Linked DNA regions of Elephas maximus indicus. The protein of the gene in region 1 interacts with the protein of each later gene in a pairwise test. Links are inferred from orthologs where the notes say so. Each region holds a gene or a part of one and is shown on either strand. Other genes may lie near its edges.

Evidence for each region.
Region 2: the proteins of PNKP (region 1) and ZNF639 interact in binary tests that used the Homo sapiens proteins (3 or more experiments, as listed by UniProt). The two-hybrid records come from large-scale screens. The link is inferred for Elephas maximus indicus from reciprocal best matches to the Homo sapiens genes PNKP and ZNF639.

What each region holds. Positions count from the first base shown.
Region 1 is NC_064829.1:100,303,657-100,315,166, reverse strand, and holds the start of PNKP (bifunctional polynucleotide phosphatase/kinase), read left to right. Parts: upstream 1-6,378; 5' UTR 6,379-6,495; intron 6,496-6,851; 5' UTR 6,852-6,864; coding exon 6,865-7,015; intron 7,016-7,564; coding exon 7,565-7,611; intron 7,612-7,840; coding exon 7,841-8,140; intron 8,141-9,114; coding exon 9,115-9,194; intron 9,195-9,277; coding exon 9,278-9,335; intron 9,336-9,430; coding exon 9,431-9,538; intron 9,539-9,880; coding exon 9,881-9,952; intron 9,953-10,829; coding exon 10,830-10,878; intron 10,879-10,973; coding exon 10,974-11,044; intron 11,045-11,115; coding exon 11,116-11,208; intron 11,209-11,285; coding exon 11,286-11,382; intron 11,383-11,467; coding exon 11,468-11,510. Other genes in the region: AKT1S1 (proline-rich AKT1 substrate 1), read left to right, coding at 832-1,211, 2,399-2,476, 2,557-2,726, 4,444-4,587. UniProt on the Homo sapiens protein: Plays a key role in the repair of DNA damage, functioning as part of both the non-homologous end-joining (NHEJ) and base excision repair (BER) pathways.
Region 2 is NC_064841.1:20,400,302-20,411,985, reverse strand, and holds the start of ZNF639 (zinc finger protein 639), read left to right. Parts: upstream 1-7,134; 5' UTR 7,135-7,221; exon of another isoform or gene 7,222-7,348; intron 7,349-10,934; 5' UTR 10,935-10,999; intron 11,000-11,603; 5' UTR 11,604-11,614; coding exon 11,615-11,672; intron 11,673-11,684. UniProt on the Homo sapiens protein: Binds DNA and may function as a transcriptional repressor.

The DNA.
Region 1 (11,510 bases):
TGTGCTGAAATGGGGGTCCCTCTGGCATTGTGGGAGCCCAAAGGAGGGGCTTGGCTCACCTAGGGGTGGAATACCCTGATATGCAAAGGGTGAGTGGGAGATTTTTAATGAGGAACGAGAGACCCATATAGGAAGGCTGGAGGCCTCAGGTGCTCTGGTAGGGCTGGAGTAGACCCTATGGGTTGTGCTGTGGGAGTGGGGCCACACCACCCAGGGCTTCCATTGCCAAGCTGAGGCATGCCTTTAAAATCTGGTGTGTATTTGACATCGAAAACCCAAAACCCATTGCCTTCGAGTTGATTCCGACCCATAGCAACCCTAGAAGACAGAGAAGAACTTCCCCATAGGGTTTCCAATGAGCAGCTGGTAGATTTGAACTGTCGACATTTTGATTAGCAGCTGTATCACTTAGCCACTGCACCACCAGCGCCCCTTGACACCGAGAGTACATCTCAATTGGGACCAGCTGCATTCTTCGTCTTGTATAGCTGGCGGTTCCCATAGTGGACAGAGCAGATCCAATAGGAGAGTCTGGGGCTGTCGGGACAGGTGGGACAGATATGGAGATTTGGGGGGCAGGAGTGATGGGGCTGGGATTGAGGAGGGTGCCTTGAGGCCTGGCCCAGTGACCTTGTGGGCAGTGAGGCCATCCCCAGATGGAATCGATGAAGAGTAGTGGGTTTGGGGGAGGGTGCTGAGTGCAGCTGGATGAGCTAGGTAGGCGGGGTCTGAGTAGCTTCCAAGTGACAGCTGGATAGATGGGGTTGGAGCTGGGAAGTGCAGGTCTGGGCGCCTCACCTGAGCCCAGCTCTGCCCTGCTCTGCCCTACAGGGCGCGGATGGCGTCAGGGCGCCCAGAGGAGCTGTGGGAGGCTGTGGTAAGGGCTGCTGAGCGTTTCCGGGCTCGGACTGGCACGGAGCTGGTGCTGCTGACAGCTGCACCGCCCCTCCGCCCGGGCCCCTGCACCTATGCAGCCCATGGCCGGGGAGCCCTGGCTGAAGCCACCCGTCGCTGCCTCCACGACATCGCCCTGGCCCACGGGGTGGCCACTGCTGCCCGGCCCCCTGTGCCCCCACCATTGCCACAGCCATCCAGTCCTGTGCAGAGCCCACCCCAGCCAGCCCTGGCCAGGGAAGAGGACGAGGAGGATGAGGATGAGCCAACAGAGACAGAGACCTCCGGGGAGAGGCTGGGCATCAGCGATAATGGAGGTGAGAGGGTCCAGGGCCAGGGCTGGCCTAGCACACTGTTGGGCAAGCTCTTCTCACCCCAGCAGGTTTTCCACCAGCGGGACCTTGTTGTTTCTCAGCACTCATGATCTAGGGAAGCTGCAGCCTCAAGAGACGGGAAGCCCCACAGGCCTGCCCCTGGCTAACTGTGGGGTCTGGGCAAGTCATTTCTATCTAAGTTTCTGTTTCCTTACTCTGGTAATCTGGAGCCAGCTCAGCACTCCGAGGGGACACCAAGCACACTTGGCCCTTTTCTTGAGGGTTTGGGAGGATTGCCTCCTGAGCCGAGAGCATGAGTAGATCAGGAGTTGTTTCCATATCTGGGGAACCAAATGCCTGGGAGGCCAAAGAGGAGGAAGGGGTGTGACTAATAGCTGAGGCAGCCAGGGGAGGGGTCAGCCAGCTGTCTTAATGGGAATTTGAAGGTGGGAGGCTTCCCAGAGGCTGGGTTATAAGACTAGACCCTGAAGGGTTCTTAGGCATTTACAGGTGGCTCAGTAAATGAAAGCCGTGGCCTTCGAGTCTATTCCAACTCACGGTGACTCTATAGGACAGAGTAGAGCCCCCCCAATGGTTTCCAAGCCTGTAATCCTTAGGGGAGCAGATTGCCAGGTCTTTTCTCCCACAGAATGGCTGGAGCTTTCAAACCACTGTTGTTTCTGTTAGCAGCTGAGCATTTAACCACTGTACCATCAGGGCTCCTTTGCTCAATAAATAGGAGTTACTATTTCGTTATTATCGATTACCAATGCCTGGCCTCCTCACATCGCTAAAGAAAACCGTCATAGGGTTGAGGGAATATACTCTGGAGCTAGGCAGCCTAGGTTCATACCCCAGTGATGCTACTTTTTAGCTGTGGTACCTCGGGCAAGTGACTTAATCCCTCTGTGCTTCCAGGTCACCATTTGTGAAACGGGGATCATAATTGCCCTTGTTTTTACCTGAGAGTGTAACAGATAGAAAGAAGCTGGATTTATTTCTGCTGAGGACCAGGCAGATAGCCAGGAGAAGAGTGTTCTCAGGAGAGGGAACAGTAATCGCTGAAGCCCTGAGGCTTGAAAGGAACCAGCAAATGTAGAGAGCAGGGAGGCAGTGGTAGTGGCAGGAGTAGGAGGTGCATGGCATGCAGCGGGGACCCAACTGGCGCGAGCCTCTCGTGCCATCTGCAGGGCTCTTTGTGATGGACGAGGATGCCACCCTCCAGGACTTGCCACCCTTCTGTGAGTCGGACCCTGAGAGCACCGATGGTGAGTGTCCGAGGTTTCTTCCACCCCGAGGGGCTAGGACAAGGGCAGGGACAGAGCCTGAGGCCCACCCTCTCTTGCAGATGGCAGCCTGAGCGAGGAGACCCCTGCTGGCTCCACAACCTACTCGGTGCCCCCAGCCTCAGCCCTACCCACGCAGCAGTACGCCAAATCCCTGCCCGTGTCTGTGCCCATCTGGGCCTTCAAAGAGAAGAGGACAGAGGCACGGTCATCGGATGAGGAGAACGGGCAGGTGAGGGATGCATGGGAGAAGATGGAAGGGGGAGGCAAGTAAGAGGGGGAGCTGAAAATGCTCAGCCACCTCCTCCACAAAGCCCCTCAGGCATTGAACTCCAGCTCCTGGTGAGCCTTGAAATTCACGGGGCAAAAAGCTCCATGGATCCTCACAGCAACCTCACGAAGCCTGCAGTTGTAGCCACTGTAGCTTGATAATGTGTCTCCATGCTTTGTCTCGTCTCTGAGAACAGCTCCACTTTTAGAGCACCTGCTCTGGGCAGGACACCTGCCACACAGCATCTTGGCAACCCCCCAGATGGGGAAATTGAGGCTCAGGGGTCAGATCACCCCCTACTCCTACTCTTCACATTGCTGGTCTTTCCTGGGACTTTCCCACTCCCTTGTCCTCTTCCCAGACTGGCCTGGCCTGGGTGGGTCTTTGTTACCCATCACTGAAGTTCCCTGAAGCAGAAAGAAACCGAGGCATTGAGAGGACATGTGACTTCCGCGGGGTCTCAGCCTGTCAATGGCAGGCCTAGGATCAGAGCCCAGCTTCCCTTAGGAAGGAGCTGTAGGCTTTGCAGGAAGAGGCCTGGGTCCTCGTGGTCCTCCCTCCCTGATGACATCTCTCTGGGCCTCAGTGTCCTCATCTGCAAACTCATGGGCTGTCCCAAGGGCCCAGCAAGCCAGTGATGCTGGAAACCAAGGACACTGCCCGGTCCAGCTGCTGCTGTGGTTACTGCTTGCGATTTGCAGAGATGCAGTTAATTAAGTGAGCACTTGAGGCCCCGAGTGCTGGGTACCTGCGCTGGCCTCAGGGCAAGCTCGGGTCCCCTCTGCTGATGTCCACTCACATTCTGCTGTTGGGACGGCCACATTCCAGCTCAGTGTGACAGGAGGTATAATGGAGATAGCACTAGGCGCTGGGGCTGTGGGCAGATGGAATGGCAAGACAACTCCGGAAGTCTCCTATGAAGGAGGACATGAAGAGGGACCCTCCCTGTCCAGCTCAGGAGTGCCGATGACATGATACTTCACCTTCTGGAACAGTCACTGTGCTGATGGTCTCATTTTAGCCCTTGTAGGACCTCTGTATTACCCTGTTAACCCATTTTTCAGAGGTAGAGACTGAGGCTTAGTACAGTGAAACCTCTTGTGTAATGTGGCAGAGCCCTGAATGGAACATAGTTGAATCCCAAGCCCAAAGGCTTCAAGATCAGACCCCCTGGCTGCACTCAGCCCCAATGGTCAGCAGACAAAGGGCACCTCCATAGTGTTACAAGTTTATGAGAAGGTGGTCCCACAGCCGTGGCTGCCCAAAGCACCAGGTCAAGAAGGGGAGGAGGAGAGGCAGGAGGGCTTCTTGGGGGAGGTGGTGTCTGAGTCTCCCTGGGTGGCGCAAACGGCTTGAGCTTTACTAGGAACCTAAAGACTGACAGTTCGAACCCACCCAGTGGCACTGCAGAAAAAAGGCCTGGCAATCTGCTCCTGTAAAGATTACAGCCAAGAAAACCCTGTGGAGCTCAGTTCTATTCTGTAGTACGTGGGGTCACCATGAGTCGGAATCATCCCCAGGGTAACAGGTTTGGTTTGGGTTTGGTGTCTTAGTAGGACAGAAGCGTGAAGGGCATTCCTGGCAGTGGGCGTGGGGGCTGAGGGGGTTGGCGCAGCAAAGAGGCGAGTGAGAAAGGGCCCTTTTCTGTGCTGACACCACCTGGTGGCCTTCTCCGCAGCCCTCCTCGCCGGACCTGGACCGCATCGCGGCGAGCATGCGCGCGCTGGTGCTGCGGGAGGCCGAGGATACCCAGGTCTTTGGGGACCTGCCTCGGCCGCGGCTCAACACGAGCGACTTCCAGAAGCTGAAGCGGAAATACTGAGGCCGGTGCAGGCGCTGCCTGACTTGCGGCCGTCCCGCCCCACACTACACCCCCGCCCCGCCCCCGGGGCCCGTCAATCCGAGGCAGGTCCAGGACCGGCCTCCCCACGGCTCCTGGGGCCCCGGGACTGACCGTCCTTGCCAGTCCCCACCTAGTGACCGGGATGCCCTCCCAGCCCGCGTCCCCCTCCTGCGCCAAGGAAAGGGGGCCCGTCCAGTATCTTGATTTGGTCTGTCTCCCTTCGCGCAGCGACCGGTCCTTTCATTAAGGGATTGGCTGGCTCTCCTATCAGGGGTGTGGCTAGTTGCAAACACTCAGTGAGTCCATCCCGCCGTTTTCCGCCTAGCGACACAGCTTTGCTCGCTCGGCATGGGCTCCATCCCTGAAACAGCACAGTCAAACCCCAGGATTGGGCAGTGGTAATCTACCGCCTAGTGACAGGGCCGCTTCTTCATTTTTGATTGGCTCGAGCCATGTGAAGTGCTTGACCAATCTCCCGAGAGTTACCCTTTGTCTTTCGCGAGTTTTCCCATTTAACTGGTTCATGCCTACTGAGGGCATGGCCAAGCCCGCTTCCCGTGCCCTGGATTGGCCTGTGGTCTTCAATTTATGTTTTTTACACTACTGGGGCTGGGCTCGCCTTTGCCAAATCGTGATGATTTGTTCCTCTGGCTCCCTCAGGGGTGGTCCAATCTTGTTTCTACGTTCTGACACCTCCTCTCATTGGTTCCATCCCACAACAGCCTGCCAATCGAAGTCCGTTCTTGCGTCCAGGACGTTACCAGCTCCCACCCCTCTTCCCCCACCCCAAAGGTGCCTTAAAGGGCCCTCGTCCACCCAAGGTGGGGGGCAGGGGGCCTTACTCTCCGGCCCTGATGTGGAGGAGAGAGTGGGGTAATGGGTCGGACGTTAAGAGGGGGGGCTCTGAGATTAAAGAGTTTTACCTCTGCCAAATGAGTATGAGGTGTTTATTCAACGTGTTCTCAAGCTGAATCAGCATCTCACTGATTCCTACCGCAAAGCTGGGAGGTGGGGTAGTTGTCCCCATTTTACATACAAAGGAGTGGAAATTTACGGGGCTGGAGGGGCTTAGGATTTCGGGTCTCTGGCCGTGGAGCCCCAATCTCCTGGGGGATGAGTGTTAGGACCAGAGTGGTTTTAAGGAATCAGTCTCCTTAACTAGCTCACATATTGCCCAGCAAAGACAAGCACCTCCAGCTGCAGCCGGTAGTTTCCTACCACAAGAGGAGGGCTGGGGTTTATAAAGCAGGTAGAACCTGGTCGGAAGTTAGGACTCGATAAAGTAAACATGGAACCCCCATTTGCCAACGGACACCACCGGAGGAATGCTAGCAGACAACATTTAAAGATGGCTTACTAAAACCCTGATGCTTTTCTAAGCTATCTGCACGTATTAACTCCTTTGGTTTTCTATTAGACCCACGACGTGGAGACGATTATCCCCCACTTTATAGGTGACAAAACTGCAGCATCGAGGTTAAAGCAAGAGAACAATCTTTTAAGACTAGGGATGCTGTCGGGGGTACTGGGGTACTGACAACGAACTTCAAGTGGGGAAGAGAACTTCCCATTGTATCTACCTCCAGCAAAAGAAATACATAATTCAACATGGTACAGAAAAATCTGTGAACAGAGGACACACTCTCCCCTACTGGCCGGAGCCTAACATTGCGGCAAGAGAAAAAGAGCTGACGAGGAACCGCCCTATATCTGGGATGAGGCGGGGCTGCAGTGGTGGGAGGAACCAAGGCCCCGCCCCTCTCGGTGGAGCTAGTCATTTCCGTCCTCCGCGGAACTGAGAAATCGGCGGGCCGAGTTGTGGGCGGAACGCCTCTGGTAGGAATTCTCTGGTAGGAAGTGGCGCTTGAATCCGAACGGCGTGCACAGGTGAGAGTGGTGGTAGGGCGGGGGGCGCGCGCGATGCTCTCGGCTCTGGCTCTGGGAGTTTGGGATCCTGACTCGCGGCGGGAGGGAGCCAGGCGTCGTCGCCTGGGAAACAGCGCGAGCTGTTGGCCAGCGAAGGGGTGGGATTTCCGGAACAGAGGACATTCTTGTAGGAGGGTGGGGAACTGCTGTCAGTTCGGAGGAGGCGGGACTTCGAGGAAGTGTCAAGAGGCGGGACTTCCTGTGGGCCGAGCCGGCCTTCAGAAGGAACCAAAAAGGCGGGGTTTCCCACGAGCCAGGTAGGAGGATGGGCGGGGCTCAGACTTGCCATTCAAACTCGTGTACCTACTTGTCCCTAGGCCTCGTCCCAGGATGGCCGAGCTGGAGGCCCATGGTCGCCTGTGGCTCGAGAGTCCCCCTGGGGGGGCGCCTCCCATCTTCTTGCCCACGGACGGGCAAGCCCTCATCCTGGGTCGGGGACCTCTGACTCGAGTCACCGACCGGAAGTGTTCACGAAACCAAGGTGGGCGGGACCTGCGCCTTGGGGGTGTGGCCTGCGTCAGGGGACGGGAACACAGTCAAAGGGAAAGCAAGCCCCTAGGGAGGTAGCTTGGCTGCTAGGCTGAATTGCGTGGTGCAGGCAATGCTTAAGTTGGTAGATGACCTCTGGGGAGCACAGGAAGAGCAAGGTTGTGCCTGACGTGGAATTGGCCATACCCTTTTGGGGAGAGGGGATGGAGCCAATGCCAGGAAACTTGTCAGTGGGCAGAGAAGGATGCTCACAGGACACTGTGAAGGCCTGAAACAGGCCACGACCCTTGTCAAGAAAAGAACCGATCCTATGGAGAGAAGCATCCGTCCTGACCTTAGGCACGGATCAGAGGTCGCAGGCAACCCTAGGGCCTCAATCTGTCAAGGAATGAGCCAGTTGCATTCAAAAATAAACTATGCCTCCTACTCCGCTAAGGATGCTGGTAGCCCAATCCTGTCGCCCGAAGCTGGCCACGCCCCCATTAATCAGGGAACCAATCACACAAGGGTGCAAATCCTGACTCTGCCTCCTCACTCTCAGTGGAGCTGGTTGCAGACCCTGAGACCCGGACAGTGGCCGTGAAACAGGTACCAGGATCCCAACAAGGGGCAGCAAGACCTGGGGGAGGGGTAGGAGTTAGGGGAGGAAGCTCAACCCAGCAGGGAAAAGGTCCCATTGGAAAAATCTGATTCGCTAAGAGTGGAGGGGGTGTGGCCAATAAGGTTGACCCATGCAAGTGCTTCCCCACGGTGTGTGATTGGAGGAGGTTCCTGGTTGGGGCGCAGCCAGTTCCAGCTCCTCTCTCTTCCTCTGCAGCTGGGAGTCAACCCCTCAACTGCGGGGACGCAGGAGCTGAACCCGGGGTTGAAGGGCTCTCTGGGGGTGGGGGACACGCTGTATTTGGTCAACGGCCTCCACCCCCTGATCCTGCGCTGGGAAGAGGCCTGCACAGCAGGACCCCAGCCAGACACTCCACCCGGCACCCCTCCGGTGGACCCAGACGTGAAGGAGGGTACCGAGCAGCGGAAAAAGCGGATGCGGAAGTCATCCCCAGGCTGGGAAAGCTTCGAGAAGCTGCTGGTGTTCACGGCACCTGGGGTGAAGGCCCAGGGCAAGGTGAGGGCTAAGCTGAGCGCTGTGGGAGCCTCCACAGACTGAGGGCTCAACCTAAGTTTGCTGGGTGCTCTTTCTCAAGTCACTAGACCTCTCCTAGCCTCCACTTCCTCTTCTGCGAAATGGGCCTGGTGACAAATTCAGGAGTGGTTTTCAGCCATGGAGAAAACGGTGTACATCAACTTCTGCCTGACTCAGTAACTACATGGTGATCACGGTCATTTTCGCAGGAGCTATAGGGTCGCTATAACTTGGAATCCACTCGATGGCAACGGCTGGGGATTTGGGGGGTAGTTATTGGGTTGGGTGTGGTGTTTAGGACCATAGAGACTTGAGTTCAAACACCGTTCCCTCCACATTCCAGCAGAGGGCAGCTGCTTTGCTTCTCTGAGCCCCACCTCCCTCCTCAAATGATAAATCCATTAAAAGGATGTGGCAACAGCTAACACCCAAATAAAACTCAGCTCCTGTTCTTATTTTCATGATAATTAACTCTCTGAGGTGGAGGAGCCCAGAGGAAGAGGGTGGGCAAGATATTAACCCCCATTTTCAAGACTGGAAGACTGAGGGGCAGAGGAGGAATAAATTTAAAAAACCAAACCCGTTGCCTTTGAGTCAATTCTGACTCATAGTGATCTATAGGACAGAGCAGAACTGCCCCTTAAGGTTTCCAAGGAGCAGCTGGTGAATTTGAACTGCTGACTTTTTGGTTAGTAGCTGTAGCTCTTAATCACTGCACCACCAGGGCTCCAGAAGAGGAATGGGAACCAGTAAAGTTCCAATTTCAGGCTCTGCGCTCAGAGGATCCTCACTGCGCATGAGGCATGAGACATTTACGGTTTCTGTGGTTTGGTCTTCCCACCTGTAAAACGGGGATGGTAAGCATGCCTCCCTCGCAGGGCGGCTGTGAGTCAGCCTGTGAGCGAGGAGAACGAGGGGGATGACAGAGCTGCCGTTCCTCTTTCTCCCAATGCCAGGTGGCCAGCTTTGATCTGGATGGGACTCTCATCACCACACGCTCTGGGAAGGTCTTTCCCACCGGCCCCAGCGACTGGAAGTGAGAAGAGGGGAGGGAGAAAGGGACACCTGCATCCACTTCTGGGCCCCAGGTCACCCTTGCCACTTCCCCACCTGTCCTAGGATCTTGTACCCTGAGATTCCGCGGAAGCTCCGTGAGCTGGAAGCCGAGGGCTACAAGGTGTGTGTGTACGCACATACGCATGCAGCAGCCAGGCCTTGGTGAGGAGGGGCCCTGGGGACAGAGGCAACGGGTGACACCCATCTGCTCCCCAGCTGGTGATCTTCACCAACCAGATGGGCATCGGGCGCGGGAAGCTGCCAGCAGAGGAGTTCAAGGCCAAGGTGGAGGCTGTGGTGGAGAAGCTTGGTGTTCCTTTCCAGGTATGGCTGGAAGGGAGGCTAGGGGCCCTGTGGGGGTTTAGAAACCTGCGGAGAGGGATAGAGACCCAGGGAGAGAGGGAACAGAGGTCCAGAAAGAGAGGGGGGTGGAGATGCAGAGAGAGAGGAACAGAGACCCAGAGAGCCAGAGAGAGAGGGACAGAGACCCTGGGGTGAGAGGTTAGGCTGACAGATACCCATCATAAACTGCAAAGTCTGGGCACTGGGTGCTGTCCAGGGTTGGTGAGGGTTGGGATAGTATCCAGTGGGGCCCTGTACCCTCAAAGGATGCTGGGTGCTCAAGGAAGAGCTAAGGATGAGATCTGAGCCCCCTGCCACCCATAGGTTTTGGTGGCCACTCATGCTGGCTTGTACCGGAAACCAGTGACTGGCATGTGGGACCATCTGCAGGAGCAGGTAAGCTGCTGCCTTTCTCTGCCCGTCCTCAGGGTTGCTCTCCTTATCTTTCCAGCTCCTCACTCCCTGCCCGGCCTCCCCCTTCTTACTCCTCTTCTCATTTCTCTGGTATTCTTGCTCAGCTCTCATCACGTGGTTTTCTCCAGTTTTAGCTGTTACTCGTTCACTCATTCCTTCATTCATTCATGTTTACGTTTGTTCTGAAATTCAACATATTCTTCGGCTAGAGATATTTAGTGAGCAAGACAGACATGCCAGCCCCATCAGCCCTCACATCCCAGTGAGGCTGGCCAACTAAATGAAGCAAGGTAAAACCAGGGGTGTTATTCTAGCTCAGATGGTCAGGGAAGGCCTTTCTGAGCAGGTGACATATGAAGATCTAAACGAATAGAGAGAGAGAGCTATGGGGGTATCTGGAGCTTTCCAGGAGGAAGTAATAGCAAGTGCAAAGGCCCCGAGGCAGGAGTGGGCTTGGAGTATAAGAGGAACAGGGAGGAGGCCAGTGTGGCTGGAACTGAGTGGTCGAGGACAGGGGATGAAGGCAGAGAGGGAACTGAATAGAGAGTACCTGATGTGGGGATTGTGGAAGCCACCGTTAGGACTTTGCTTTGACTCAGGGAGGCAGGAGCCACAGGGGGTCTCTGAGCTGAAGCACAGGACGTAAGCGGTATTGAGCGCCTTTGTATGGGGAACACACCAGGAGTGAGGGCAGAAGTGGGGGGTGGTGCAAAGTGGTGGGATGGTGGTCTGAGAGATTGGCTATGGAACATGTAGGGTAAAAGATCAAACTAATACTTTAGACTGTTGATGCTTTAGGGGGAACAGAGGTGTAGGAATGGCTCCTTACTGCCTGCTGTCCATCCTCCTGTCCCCCCAGGCCAATGAGGGCATGCCCATCTCCATTGAGGATAGCCTCTTCGTCGGGGGTAAGGGCCTGGGAGCTTGGGGGAAATTGTGGACCCTGGGGCCCCCGCTGTCACCAGTTGCTGGTGGAGGCAGTATGTGTCCCCTGCTGTTTCAGACGCTGCTGGTCGCCCCGCAAACTGGGCCCCTGGGCGGAAGAAGAAAGACTTCTCTTGTGCAGACCGCTTGGTGAGGTCCCGCCCCCATTCTTGCCCTCTGGGCTCCCTGGCTCCCCCTCTTACCTTTGCCCTCACCCCCAGTTTGCCCTCAACCTCGATCTGACCTTCACCACACCCGAGGAGTTCTTTCTCAAGTGGCCTGCAGCCAGCTTTGAGCTCCCAGCTTTTGACCCGGTGAGGCCCACGTTCTGGTGGGAGGGGAGCCCTATGGGAATGGGCTGGGGTCTAATCCTTCCTGTCCGGCCCCCCAGAGGACCGTTGCCTCCTCAGGGCCTCTCTGCTTCCCTGAATCCAGCTCCCTTCTGAGCTCTGACTCTGAGGTGGTCGTCGCCGTGGGATTTCCTGGGGGTGAGATGCCCTGACCCCTGACCTCCGGGTGCCCCCAGCCCCTCTCCTGGTCCTAAGATACTTATAGTACACGCCCACCTCACAGCTGGGAAGTCTACCTTCCTCAAGAGGCATCTGGTGTCCGCTGG
Region 2 (11,684 bases), on another chromosome or scaffold:
AAGTATTATAGTCAAGCAGAGACCCTGATCCAGGACTCAGGATGAGATTTAGGGAAGGAGAAAGTCTTTTTTAAAAAAGCCAAAAGACTGTCTCTGTCCCATCCTCAAAAAGCTAAGTGTCTGAGTGGGTTGACTGGCTGTCTAGATCTGGGCTTGCTGGTTTTGAAGACAGCTTATGGAGGAACTCTGCTGTGTAGGTGGTTTGGAACGATGGAATCCAGGTGCCTCTGTTGAGTACCTGAGGTCCCTGATTTGGGATACCACTGCCTCACGTATGAGTTATGAGTATGTGACCCAGTCAGATCTGTGCTGGTGTCAACAAGCTAGATGGCCAGGACAGAATATCAATTCATTCAATAAGTTGAATGCCTAGGCTCCTTACTTTTCACCCTCCTTAGACAAAGCTGTCATTAATTGCCAACAGGTTGATTCTGACTCATGGAAGCAGATGGCCAGGCCTGTCTTCCAACATACCTCTAGGTGGGTTTGAACCACCAGCCTTTCAGCTAGTAGTCAAGTGCTCAACCCTTTGCACCACCCAAGGACTCCTAGACCAAGCTAGGCTCCATGCTACATGCTTCCATAACGTTCTTTACTTGGCTCATGTAAGTTTAGTCATCACATTTTGTGCTGTTTAAGTGCATATCTTCCCTACAAGGCTGTAAGGGTCACGGCCATGTGTACCTCACTTACACTGTATCCCCAGTATGTAGTACGAGCTGGACACAAGGTTAATATGCAATGAATACTCGATTGAAAAAGTGAATGAGGTGCTATGCAAGGCACTGTGCTAAATGGTGAGATGGAACAGACTGAAAGAGAAGAACTCACAGGCATAATGTGACAAGAAGGGATGGAGCCAAATTTTGTGAGGACAGAAGCTTATCCCAACTTGAAGACTGATTTAAGAAATAATATACAACTATAAACACAAAAGTGTCTTGAATCGGAAAATGTTCACACGATTGAGAGGACATGAAGTTTAAGCTTCATTACTTTCAGAGCACATGCATCTCTGGTGAAAAGTGGATTCAGGTACCAAGTACTGTGGAATCCTTTAGCAGGCATCTCTGCTACAGGGAGAATTAGAAATTTCATAGAAGAAAGAATTTGAGCGTGATCTTACAGAAACAGAGGAAACAGACTGCAGGAAAGAGAAACGTGCTGAAGCACACAGGTGAGAAGGAGCGAGAGCTTATCTGTGGAGTGGTGAGAAGCAGTATTTGGCTAGTATGGGGTGGGTGGGGAGTCCCTGGGTGGTGCAAACGATTAATGTGCTTGGCTGCTGACTGAAAGGTTGGTAGTTTGAGTCCACCCAGAGGTGCCTTGGGAGAAAGGCCTGGCAATCTACTTCTGAAAACTCAGCCACTGAACACTATATGGAGTGTGGTTCTACTCTGCCACACGTGGGGTCACCAAGAGTCAGAGTCAACTTAACTGGCAACTGGTGGTGGGGGCGGGTGGGGAAAATCTTAGAACAGTGGTTCTCAAAGTGTGGTCCCTAGGCCAGCAGCATCCGCACTCATCCGGGAACTTGTCAGAAATGCAAACTCTCAGGTCCCCCCTCAGATCCACCCAATTAGAAGCTCTGGAAATAGAGCCCAGAAACCTGCATTTTAACAAGACCTGCGGGTGATTCCGATGGGTTACTGGAGTATCAGCTGAAGCTCTTTTATGCTTGCAAATTTAATTTCAGGCTGTTTTACAAGATGCGGAGAAATAAGAACAAAGAACAATGACAGAAAGAAATAGCTCTCTCCATCTCATCCCCCCAAAATAAATTACAGATAAGGTAGAAAATGTAACTAGATCTTGGCTAGAAGACTATCCTCCGCATAAGGCCAGCAACAGAACCTATAAAGGAAAAGATTGATAGGCTTGGTTTCACCACAATTCGAAATGTTTGTGCATTAACAGAATTAAAAGCAAACAAACTGGAAAGAAATATCTGCAATATATATCACAGACAAAAGGCTAAAAATTTTAATTAAAAATAAAAAAAAATTAATAGCCTATAGAAAAATAGAAGACAAACTCAAAATTTAAAAATACAAATGGCCAATAAACACAGGAGAAAAATTCAATTTCATCAAAAAAAATTAAAATGGTATATTATATTTTACTTACCAAATTGGCAAAGCATTTTTTAAAATTGAAACAACTCGAATGTCCACTAATTAAGGTGCCCTTTAACATTCTGATAGCATAAGGAATATTCGGAAACCCTGGTGGTATAGTGGTTAAGAGCTTCGGCTGCTAGCCAAGAGGGCTGCAGTTCAAATCCACCTTGGAAACCCTATGGGGCGGTTCTACTCTGTCCTGTAGGGTCGCTATGAGTCGGACCCGATGGTAGTGGGCTTTAAGGAATATTCAAGTAACAAAGTAGAAAAAAAACCCGTCACAAAACAACATAAACAATAATACCCTGATTTTGAAAAAAAAAGTCTATGTGTGTACATAGGTATAAAAATAATGGAAAGCTATAGAGTAAAATGTTACCATTGGTTTGCTCAGGGTTATGGGATTATGGTAAATTTCTTTTGCTCCTTACATTTTGCTATTGTCTGCATTTTGTAAGAAGCATGTATCCCTACTCTAATCAGGAAAAAATTAAGCTAAGCTATCAGTGTGGCAAGAAGTTGGAAGAATGATGATTAAATACCCCCTCAGTCAAAGTTAAGGACCCCGGTGACACGGTGGTTAAAGCGCTCAGCTGCTAACCAAAAGGTTGGCGGTTCAAAACCGCCAGCTGCTCTGTGGGAGAAAGATGTGGCAGTCTCTTTCCATAAAGATTTGCGGCTTCAGAAACCCTACAAGGCAGTTCTACTCTGTCCTACAGGATCACTGTGAATTGGAATCAATGCCATGGGTTTGGCTTTTTGGGCTCAGTCAGAGTTATAATAGGAACTGGTAAACTGTACAATTTGGTAGTCTTTTGAGATTTCATAGTTTTATCCCCATGGCCACCCTCCCTGAAAAGGAGAATTAGAAAAAGGAGATGTAAGGATTAATTTTATGTGTCAAGTTGGCCAAGCTATGATTCCCGGTGGTTCAGCCAAATACTAGACAAGCTGCCCACCACTCATCTGTGAATGTCATACTGTGAGGATGTCTTAGGCTGCGTTCGCTAAGAGAAGCAAAACCAGTAAAGCATATAAATACATAAATACGTGATTCATAGTGACCTTATAGGACAGGGTAGAATTGCCCCATAGGGTTTCCAAGGAGCAGCTGGTGGATTTGAACTGCCAATCTTTTAGTTAGCAGCCGAGCTCTTAACCACTGCACCACCAGGGCTCCAAATATATAGAAAGAGACATTTATATTAAGGAAATGACTCACGTGGTTGTAGAGGCTGGAACGTGGGTCAGGCTAGAGGCTTCTCCTGACTCAGGTAGCCACAGGGACTGGCTAAGCCAAGATCGGCAAGTCAGACAGCAGGGCTCTGGCTTCCCGGCTGCAAAGACTGATGAATCCCAAGATCGGCAGGCAAGACAGCAGGGAAGCTGTAAGCTCATGTCCCAAGAACGGGAGGCCAAAAGAACAGGAGCCAGCTGCAGGAGGTGATCACATTACATCAAATCTCATCATGGAAGTGATCACATTATCATCCAACTGCCAAACCACTGAGAATCATGGCCCAGCCAGGATGACACACAACCTTAACCATCACAGATGGCTTGCATGTTGCTGGGATGATGGAAGCTATGCCACTGGTATTGCAACCATCAGCAGGGCAATGGCATCATGAGGGTGATGCGAGGGCTGCAGACCACCTGGGATGACACCAAAATGACTGTCTATAAAATTTTGTGCAGTGTTTCAGTAGAAATTTATTTTTTATAAAAATATCCCTGTAATTAGTCATAACAATAACACACTTTTCGTAAGCCCAGCTTACATGTAGTAGCTTCTATGCTAATTTATTTTTTGAACCTTCTAATGCGCTCTGGTCAGAGCTGTCTTTATTACCCAGTCACAATGGCGCTTCGAATCACGTGGTTTCGTCTGCAGGTGCTACAAGCACACGCTGTTGCTGCCGGTGTTCTATAGTCACTGGGTTTGTCAAGTTTTCTGGTGTTTTAGCTACAATATTGTGGTAATTAGTATTTTTGAACCTGGTACGGAGGAGGCCCATGGGGCGGGGGGTAACACCATGAGTTACTGCACTGGGTGGCATCAAACCTAGTGACACCACTGCAGCAAGGTCACCCATGGTGGACAGGTTTCAGTGGAGCCTCCAGACTAAGACTAGGAAGAGGAACCTGGCAATCTACTTCTAAAAAGATTGTCACTTTCAGGTCTAAGGTGCACCTGACCCAAGCCATGGTATTTTCATTGGGCTCACATGCATACAAAAGCGGGACAATGAATAAGGAAGACCGGAGAACTGATGCATTTGAATTACGGTATTGGTGAAGAATATTGAATGTACCATGGACTGCCAGAAGAACATACAAATCTGTCTTGGAAGAAGGACTGTGTTTCACTACTTTGGACGTGTTATCAGGAGGGACCTGTTCCTGGAGAAGCACACCACGCTTAGTAAAGCAGAGGGTCAGCGAAGAAGAGGAAGACCCTCAACAGATGGATTGACATAGTGGTGACAACAATTGTGAGGAAGGCACAAGACCAGGCAGTGTTTCTTTCTGTTGTACATAGGTCACTATGAGTCGGAACCAACTCGAGGCCACCTAACAACAGACTAGCTGTCTAATCTAAAGTAATTAAATCACCTTCCATAATGCAATCAATCATTAGTTGGATGGAGAGTTTCCCTAGGGTGTGGTTTGTCACCAGACTACAAACAGACATTTTGGCAGATCCCTTTCTCTCTTCGCCTGACCCTTCAGATCATGGGATGAAAGCCTGAAGAAATCTCCAGGCTGAAGCCTGACATTTGGATTTTGGACTTGCCAGCTCCACAATCACATGAGCCAATCCCTTGAAGTAAATCTCTTACTGGTTCTTTTTCTCTAGAGAACCCGAAGACAGGAGAGCAAAAATTAAACTAGAAATTGTACTCCAGTTAACCAAAGAATTTTAAATTGCCTTCAATTTGTGATCATGTTAAATGACCTCTGAACACTGTAATGCTCCTTATTTACTTCATCGAGTAAATGGAAAAGAATGAGAGACTTCTTTTTTTTTTGTTGTTTTTAGGAAAAAACATGTTTGTGCTCAATACAAAATGTTTTGCAATGGTACTTCACCTCCGAATGTAAAGCTTTTGTTTGGCACAAGCTATGTGTGAATAAGACAGTGACTGATGGTTCAGTGACACCCCTCGTGGCTTCCATTGCAGAACACAGGGAACAGTAGAGCCAGGGAGGAGGGAATGATACATAAGGTTCTTTACAAATTCCGGAAACAAGTATTGATTTCTATTTCGTGCCAGGTACTAACTATAAAAAAAAGTTGTTGTGAAGTCGATTCCGATTCATGGAGACCCATGTGTTCAGAGTAGAACTGAGCTGAGTTTCTTGCCTGTAATCTTTTACAGAAGCAGATCACCAGGCCTTTCTTCCTTGAGGCTATAGGGTGGGTCCAAGCTGCCAATCTTTCCCTAGTAGCTGAGCTCTAGGAATCAAACATTTTTGTACTTTATTCAGGCCATGCCAGTAGCATTCATGAACATTTGTTTACTTGGGCTGAGCACACATAAAAGTTACGAGGTCACAAAAACTGGCCTCACAAACAAGTCATGTTCTTCCAAATGTGACTTTTTTTTTTAAGCGAGATCTGTTATGGATTGAGTTTTGGCCTCCAAAAATATGTGTTGTAAATACTAGTTTGTATGCCTATGATTATAATCCCATTTGGGAATGGGCTGTCTTTGTTGAGACAAGATTAGTGTAGGGTGTGTCTTGAGTCAATCTTTTTTGAGACATTAAGGAGATTAAATAAGCAAGCAAAAGGAGAGATGGGATAAAACAGATGCCAAGCCACTTGGAGATCTCCGAAGAACCAGGAAGCAGAAGCTGAAGAGACTAGGACCTTCCTTCAGAGTCGGGGAAGAGAGAAAGCCTACCCCTCGAGCTGGCGCTCTGAATTCGGACTTCTAGCCTCCAAAACCGTGAGAAAATACGTTTCTGTTTGTTAAAGCCAAGCATTTGTGGTCCTTCTGTTATAGCAGCACTAGCTAATGTGACAGGATCTGAGTAGGGTCTGTGATTATTATGACCTAGTTTTTGGTTGGATAAGCATGTGGTAATCAGAATAAGCACAGTGCACCTGGATAAGAAGACCCGGGTTCCAGCACGACTATCCGAGTGACTGTGGGCACGTGATAATCCTGAGGGGCCTCATTCATTCCTTCACTTCAAATTTATTTGAACTCTGGATGCTGAGGCTACAAAAATGAGCAAGATCTAGTCTCTAGCTCCTCACAGACTTATTTTCTAATTTGTGAATTGGGAACAACAACAGAAACAAGTTGTGAGGATTCAGTTAAATATATGTCCACGCTCGTTTTTATCGAAACCGTGTTCCCAAGCTTATTTATGCCCAGTTACCTCTTTAGGCTCTAGATCTGCTCACAGAACCTAAAGGCTGGAAAGGGGGCTCGGTCGGCTAATCTAATCCCCTCTGAGTCCACACTGATTCTACGAGATTTCTCGAGCCCAGGAATACAGCTGAAGCCTAAACAACTTTAATTTCATTGACCTTAAAGATTTTCACCTTCCGGCCCCGACGACAGCATCCCAGCCCTGCGTGGTTCTTTGGGGCTTCAACAAAACCACGACGCTGACGTTGCCCCTTGGCGTCCCCAACCGGCTGCGGGTACTCTTTGGGGTTTGCCAGGCCTTCTGCCTGCCCCAACCTGGGCAAGACCATTTACGTACTTCCCCTGCAGGAGCAGTCTGGGAAAAGGGGTGCTCGCCCGGCGCTTCGCCCACGTCCGCGGGGCCGGGAGGGAGCGCCCAGGGCGGCAAGGGGAAGCGCCCTCTGCGGCTTGGCCCGGAGCCGTCCCAGAGGGAGGGAGCCCCCGCGCCGCTCGGGAGGGGCGGCACCCCGCCCGGAAGAGGCCTCCGGCGGCTCAGAGGTGCCGGCAGGGCCCGCGGGCCGCCGGGCCACCCCCGGGGCTGGAGGCCGGTGGTCCCTCCCAGGCTGGAGTGCGGCGAGGCCGCGCACCCACTCCCCGCCCTCGGCCTTACCTCTTCGCCTCCCCGCCCTCTCGGCGGTCCCTTGAGGTGCGCGGCGCAGGCGCGGAGCCGGGCGGTGAGTGCGGCCCGGAGCCCGGGCCTGGGGCCTGGCGGGCAGGGCGTGGGCGCGCGGAGGGAGCAGGCCGGCCCGGAGGGGCGCGGGGAGCGCGAGGGCCGGAGCGGCGCCGCCCTCTGTCGGCGGGCAGGGCCGCGGGGCCGGGGCGCCTGGGCCAACGCCGCCTCGCGCTGCGCCTGGGCCGGCCGGCCGGGCCCCGAGGCGCCGGTGAGTGTGATGGAGGCGCGGGCGGGCCGGGCGCGGGCGGCTGCAGGGGATGTGGGCGTGCGGGCGCCGCAGCGGCCGGGAGACGGCGGGAAGGGCCGGATGGCTCCGTTCGCGTGAAAACCTGCTTCGTTTTATGGCGGGATGGCGCCTCCCTCCTCCATCCCGAAGGCCGTTCCACCCCTTCCGGGGGACGCCTCGGCGCTCTGCTGACTTTCTTCTTTGTGGCGCCTCTGGGGTCGGGTCCTGGTAGCCCCTCAGCGCCGGCCCCTGTCGCCGGTCCCCGGCCCGCACAGGCCGGTGCGTGGCGTGGGGCCGGAGACAGCTGGGTCCTGGCAGTTGTTGGCCGGCCCATGCGACGGGCTTGTCGTGCGGCGTCCGGGCTCCGGGCGTCCCTCGGTGCCACGCAGGCCCTTGGGCCCCGGCGGGCGGATCGCGACCCTCGTTCAGCTGGAGCGCACCCGGTGCTCGCGCCGCCCGCGAGCCGCAGCCGCAGAAAGCAGGCGTGGGCGCTCAGGTCTCCAGCATGTGGTCTAACGCTGTGTTACCAAACAAAAATCAAACCTGGCCAGTGGCTTCCGACTCATAGAGAGCCTATAGGACAGAGTAGAACTGTCCCATACGGTTTCCAAGGAACGCCTGGTGGAATCGAACTGCCGGCCTTTTGGTTAGCAGCCGTAACTGTTAACCACTATGCCACCGGGGTGCTGATAAACCCTGCTCGGTTCTGTTTCTAGGTACAGCCTGGGAACACGAGTCCTACGAAGCAGATAACTCTTTGCAGAGAGATAAAGATGGGTACCGCACTGAAAGTAGCTAAGCAATCAAATACTTATGATCACCTACTTCAGCAAAGACTGATACGAAGTTGGACAAGTAGTGGGTTCTACCTAGTTCAGGCTCTCCTACAGCGTTTTTGTGTTTCAATTAGTTTTCAACCTGGAAAACGTGATTATTTTAAACGAGAGCGAAAAAGAGGGTTTTTTAAGCTCCTTGGTATGAAAGTGTAGGTTTCCATTGTAAAGACTTTTGCACGAATTAAGAGAATATTTACGTTGCATGAAGTATCAAAGGTGGATCATCTATTTGATAAGTGCCAACTGCCTTTATGTGTATTGTGTTTTGTTGTCGGTTGAAAATTTTTTGTTGTTGTTTGAAAAAGAATGACAGGTGGAAAGATGCTGTAAATTGCTTTTAAAAAAAATAATGCTTTGGGTACCATATTCCCATTTTTGTAAATGTAAGATATATGTACACCGTAACAGTAAAAAGTCTAGAAATACGTACACCAGAATGTTAACAGTGGTTTTTTGGATGAAGGGATTCTAAGTGATTTAAGAAAATTTTTCTGATATTCGGTAGGGCACATGCATTACACGTGTGGTTTATTTTTAAGAGGTGAAGGGGGAGTGAATGATAAGTTGCACGTGATTCAGAATCTACCCCTGAGAGGAGCACGAGTGAGCAAGTGTTTCTATAACGTCCCTGAGTAAAAAGAATCCACCCCACGAGAAGAGGACTCGTGAACAAACGTTTCCATAACGTTCCTGAATAAAAAGCCAATCTTCTTCACTGGGGTAGTTATGCGTATAAAAGGCAGATAAGAAATGTTTGCTGAAATGAACAGTGGTTAGCATTTTTTGGTCTTAGCGTGTGTCTTATCATCACGCTAAAAGGAGGCCTCGTGAGTATTTGGACGTTGCTCAGCCCTGAGTAGAAGCTAGACCTTTCCTGATCAAGGTGATCCGCTTCCTCTCACTTGATGGTCTGAATTCAGGCCAGCTGGCAACATTAACTTTAATGCCCTGCTTGGTTTCCTTTTCGTGCTTTTTTATTCTTCGAGTTCTAAAGAACTTGAAATGTATTCAGAAATAACAAGCGGCTACCTTCACGTGTTTATTAACTGCCAGTTTTCAATGTTCTCTTGGAGCTTTGAGAACGTTCAGAGCATGATGTATGAGACTATTGGCTGTATAATTTCTGGAAGTGTAGTAAAGAGGTATTAGGAGTAAGTCTTGAAATTTTAATTTATTACATAAACATGAAAACCATTTTTCTTTTTGAACGCATTTGATTGGGACACTCTTTGTGTTTTTAGGTGAAGCATCGTATCTGTTACCATCATTTCTATAAATCTCAAGGTTGTCAGTTTCTCTGAGTGATTCTCTCACCCCCACCCCACCCCCCCACATTGACATCTGAGTAAGAACTGGAAAAAAGGTGTAACTTGCTGGTGGCAGTGATTAGCAGTGAAGATTTACTCACATACAGTTGTTCAAAGCCCAGGAGTCAGAAATTATGCATTTTCACCTCTGGTTTTGCCACTTCTGAGTTGACTTTCACTGACTCTCCTTTCTCATCAGTAAAAACAGGATGGGTTTGATAATAGCCTCTCTATCTACCTCATCTGCAGTTCGAATCCACCAGTTGCTCCTTGGAAGCCCTATGGAGCAGCTCTACTCTGTCATACAGGGTCACTATAAGTCGGAATCGCCTCGGCGGCAGCAGGTTTTTATCTACCTCGTAGGATAGTTGTGCAGATCGAATAGAATAAGGGTTAGGAAGATATTCAGTAAACTAAAAAACACTCTTACCACAATATGATCACATCACCTGTAGTGCTGGTGTACCCACAACTTGATGAAGTAGCAAAAATAGTACGTGCACCTCAAGTTCTTTACCCCTAGAAATGCAGTGGTCTTAGTAATGATGCCGAGTCCTGCCTGCCGTGTAGATCCCACTGGTGAGAAGAAAAGCAGTGTATAAGACAGGTGGAGAAAGCCACAGTGCATTTTTTTCTGATATTCCTTATGTGCCAACTGCCAGAGTGGAAAAATGAAGAGGTTGTCGTTAGTCGTTAACTTACTTGAATTGGGGTGATCACTTCATGTCCCTGTTTGTTTCCAAAACTAAAATGATTGAAAGCATTGGCTTTAAAATCGGCTAGACCTGTGTTCAAATCCCAACCCTACCATCTATTGACTGTCCAACCTTGAGCTAAATATTTAACTTTATTATGTCCCTGTTTCCTTATCAATGGCCAGTGGTAAACGGTAACTATTTCGAATGAGTGTTATGGATTGTGCATACCATAGGGTTAAATGAGATAAAGTATGTGGACAGCCTAGTGCATAACTGGTGCTCAATAAATGGTCTTTATTCTACTTAAAAACCTTAACAGTTTAAAGTCTGACTCTGTGATTCAGTGACTAAAAATATTTGCTTTTATTATGGTTGAATAAATTAATATAAACTTGTATTTGTTTTGGTGTCAAGATGTAGCTATAGCTTTGGAAGGTAAATTTATTTCAAAGCAATGTGAAACATATACATACATTTATAATACGTATGATTTTTACCGCTTAGTACAGTTTATTCAAAAGAACATCGTAACTAATTAATTCTGTATAACATTTTAGTTGATTAAAGATCTGGCAGCATTGTTTTCTTAAATCTCAGAAAAGAGCTACATTTTTGCTTATGTGAGTTCTGTCATGTTTTACCTACAGGCATTTTTTACCATCTGTGAGAATTGCCCTATAATTCGTTTTTCTTCACTCCAGTGTTATACCAAGTAAGTGAAATGTAGTGAAACTAATTAGTTAATTTTATGAACAGTTCATGTGAATTTAATCATTACACTAGTTGCCACACCTGTTCTGTTCTCAGTAAACTGTTGAATGTGACCTTATAAGTAAGAAAATAATTTTTATTTTCTCTTGAAAATTACTTATATTCTGAGCTTCTATGTGATAATCTGCCTTTAGGGGACTGTATCAGCCTTGAGCTTGAAGCCTATAGTGAAATAGCACCTATTTTTAGGAAATGTGCTTGTAAAACTCTTAAAATGGTGCCATAGGCGCAATAGTTTTGTAAAATAAAATAAAATAACTTAAGCATAAGGCTTCTTGTAATTACCCAGTCCTCACAGTTGCATCATTATTTGAAACAGAGGTTATTTCTCAGCCTTACTAATAAAGAAAACTAAAATCAGCTCCTGCCTTTAGGCTTATCTGGAAAAATAAATCCAAAATGTAAAGAGAGATACCATTTAACACTTGTGAAGTAGACTTTCACGTGGCACACACACTGCTTGTTACTAATAAATCCTTGAGTTAGAATTTTTATAACAATGTTAAGAATTATTACTTGTGATACACTTCTTAAATATTTTTTAGATTGAAAAGATATGAATGAATATCCCAAAAAAAGGAAAAGGAAGACTTTACACCCTTCTCGTTATTCAGGTCAGTGTATAA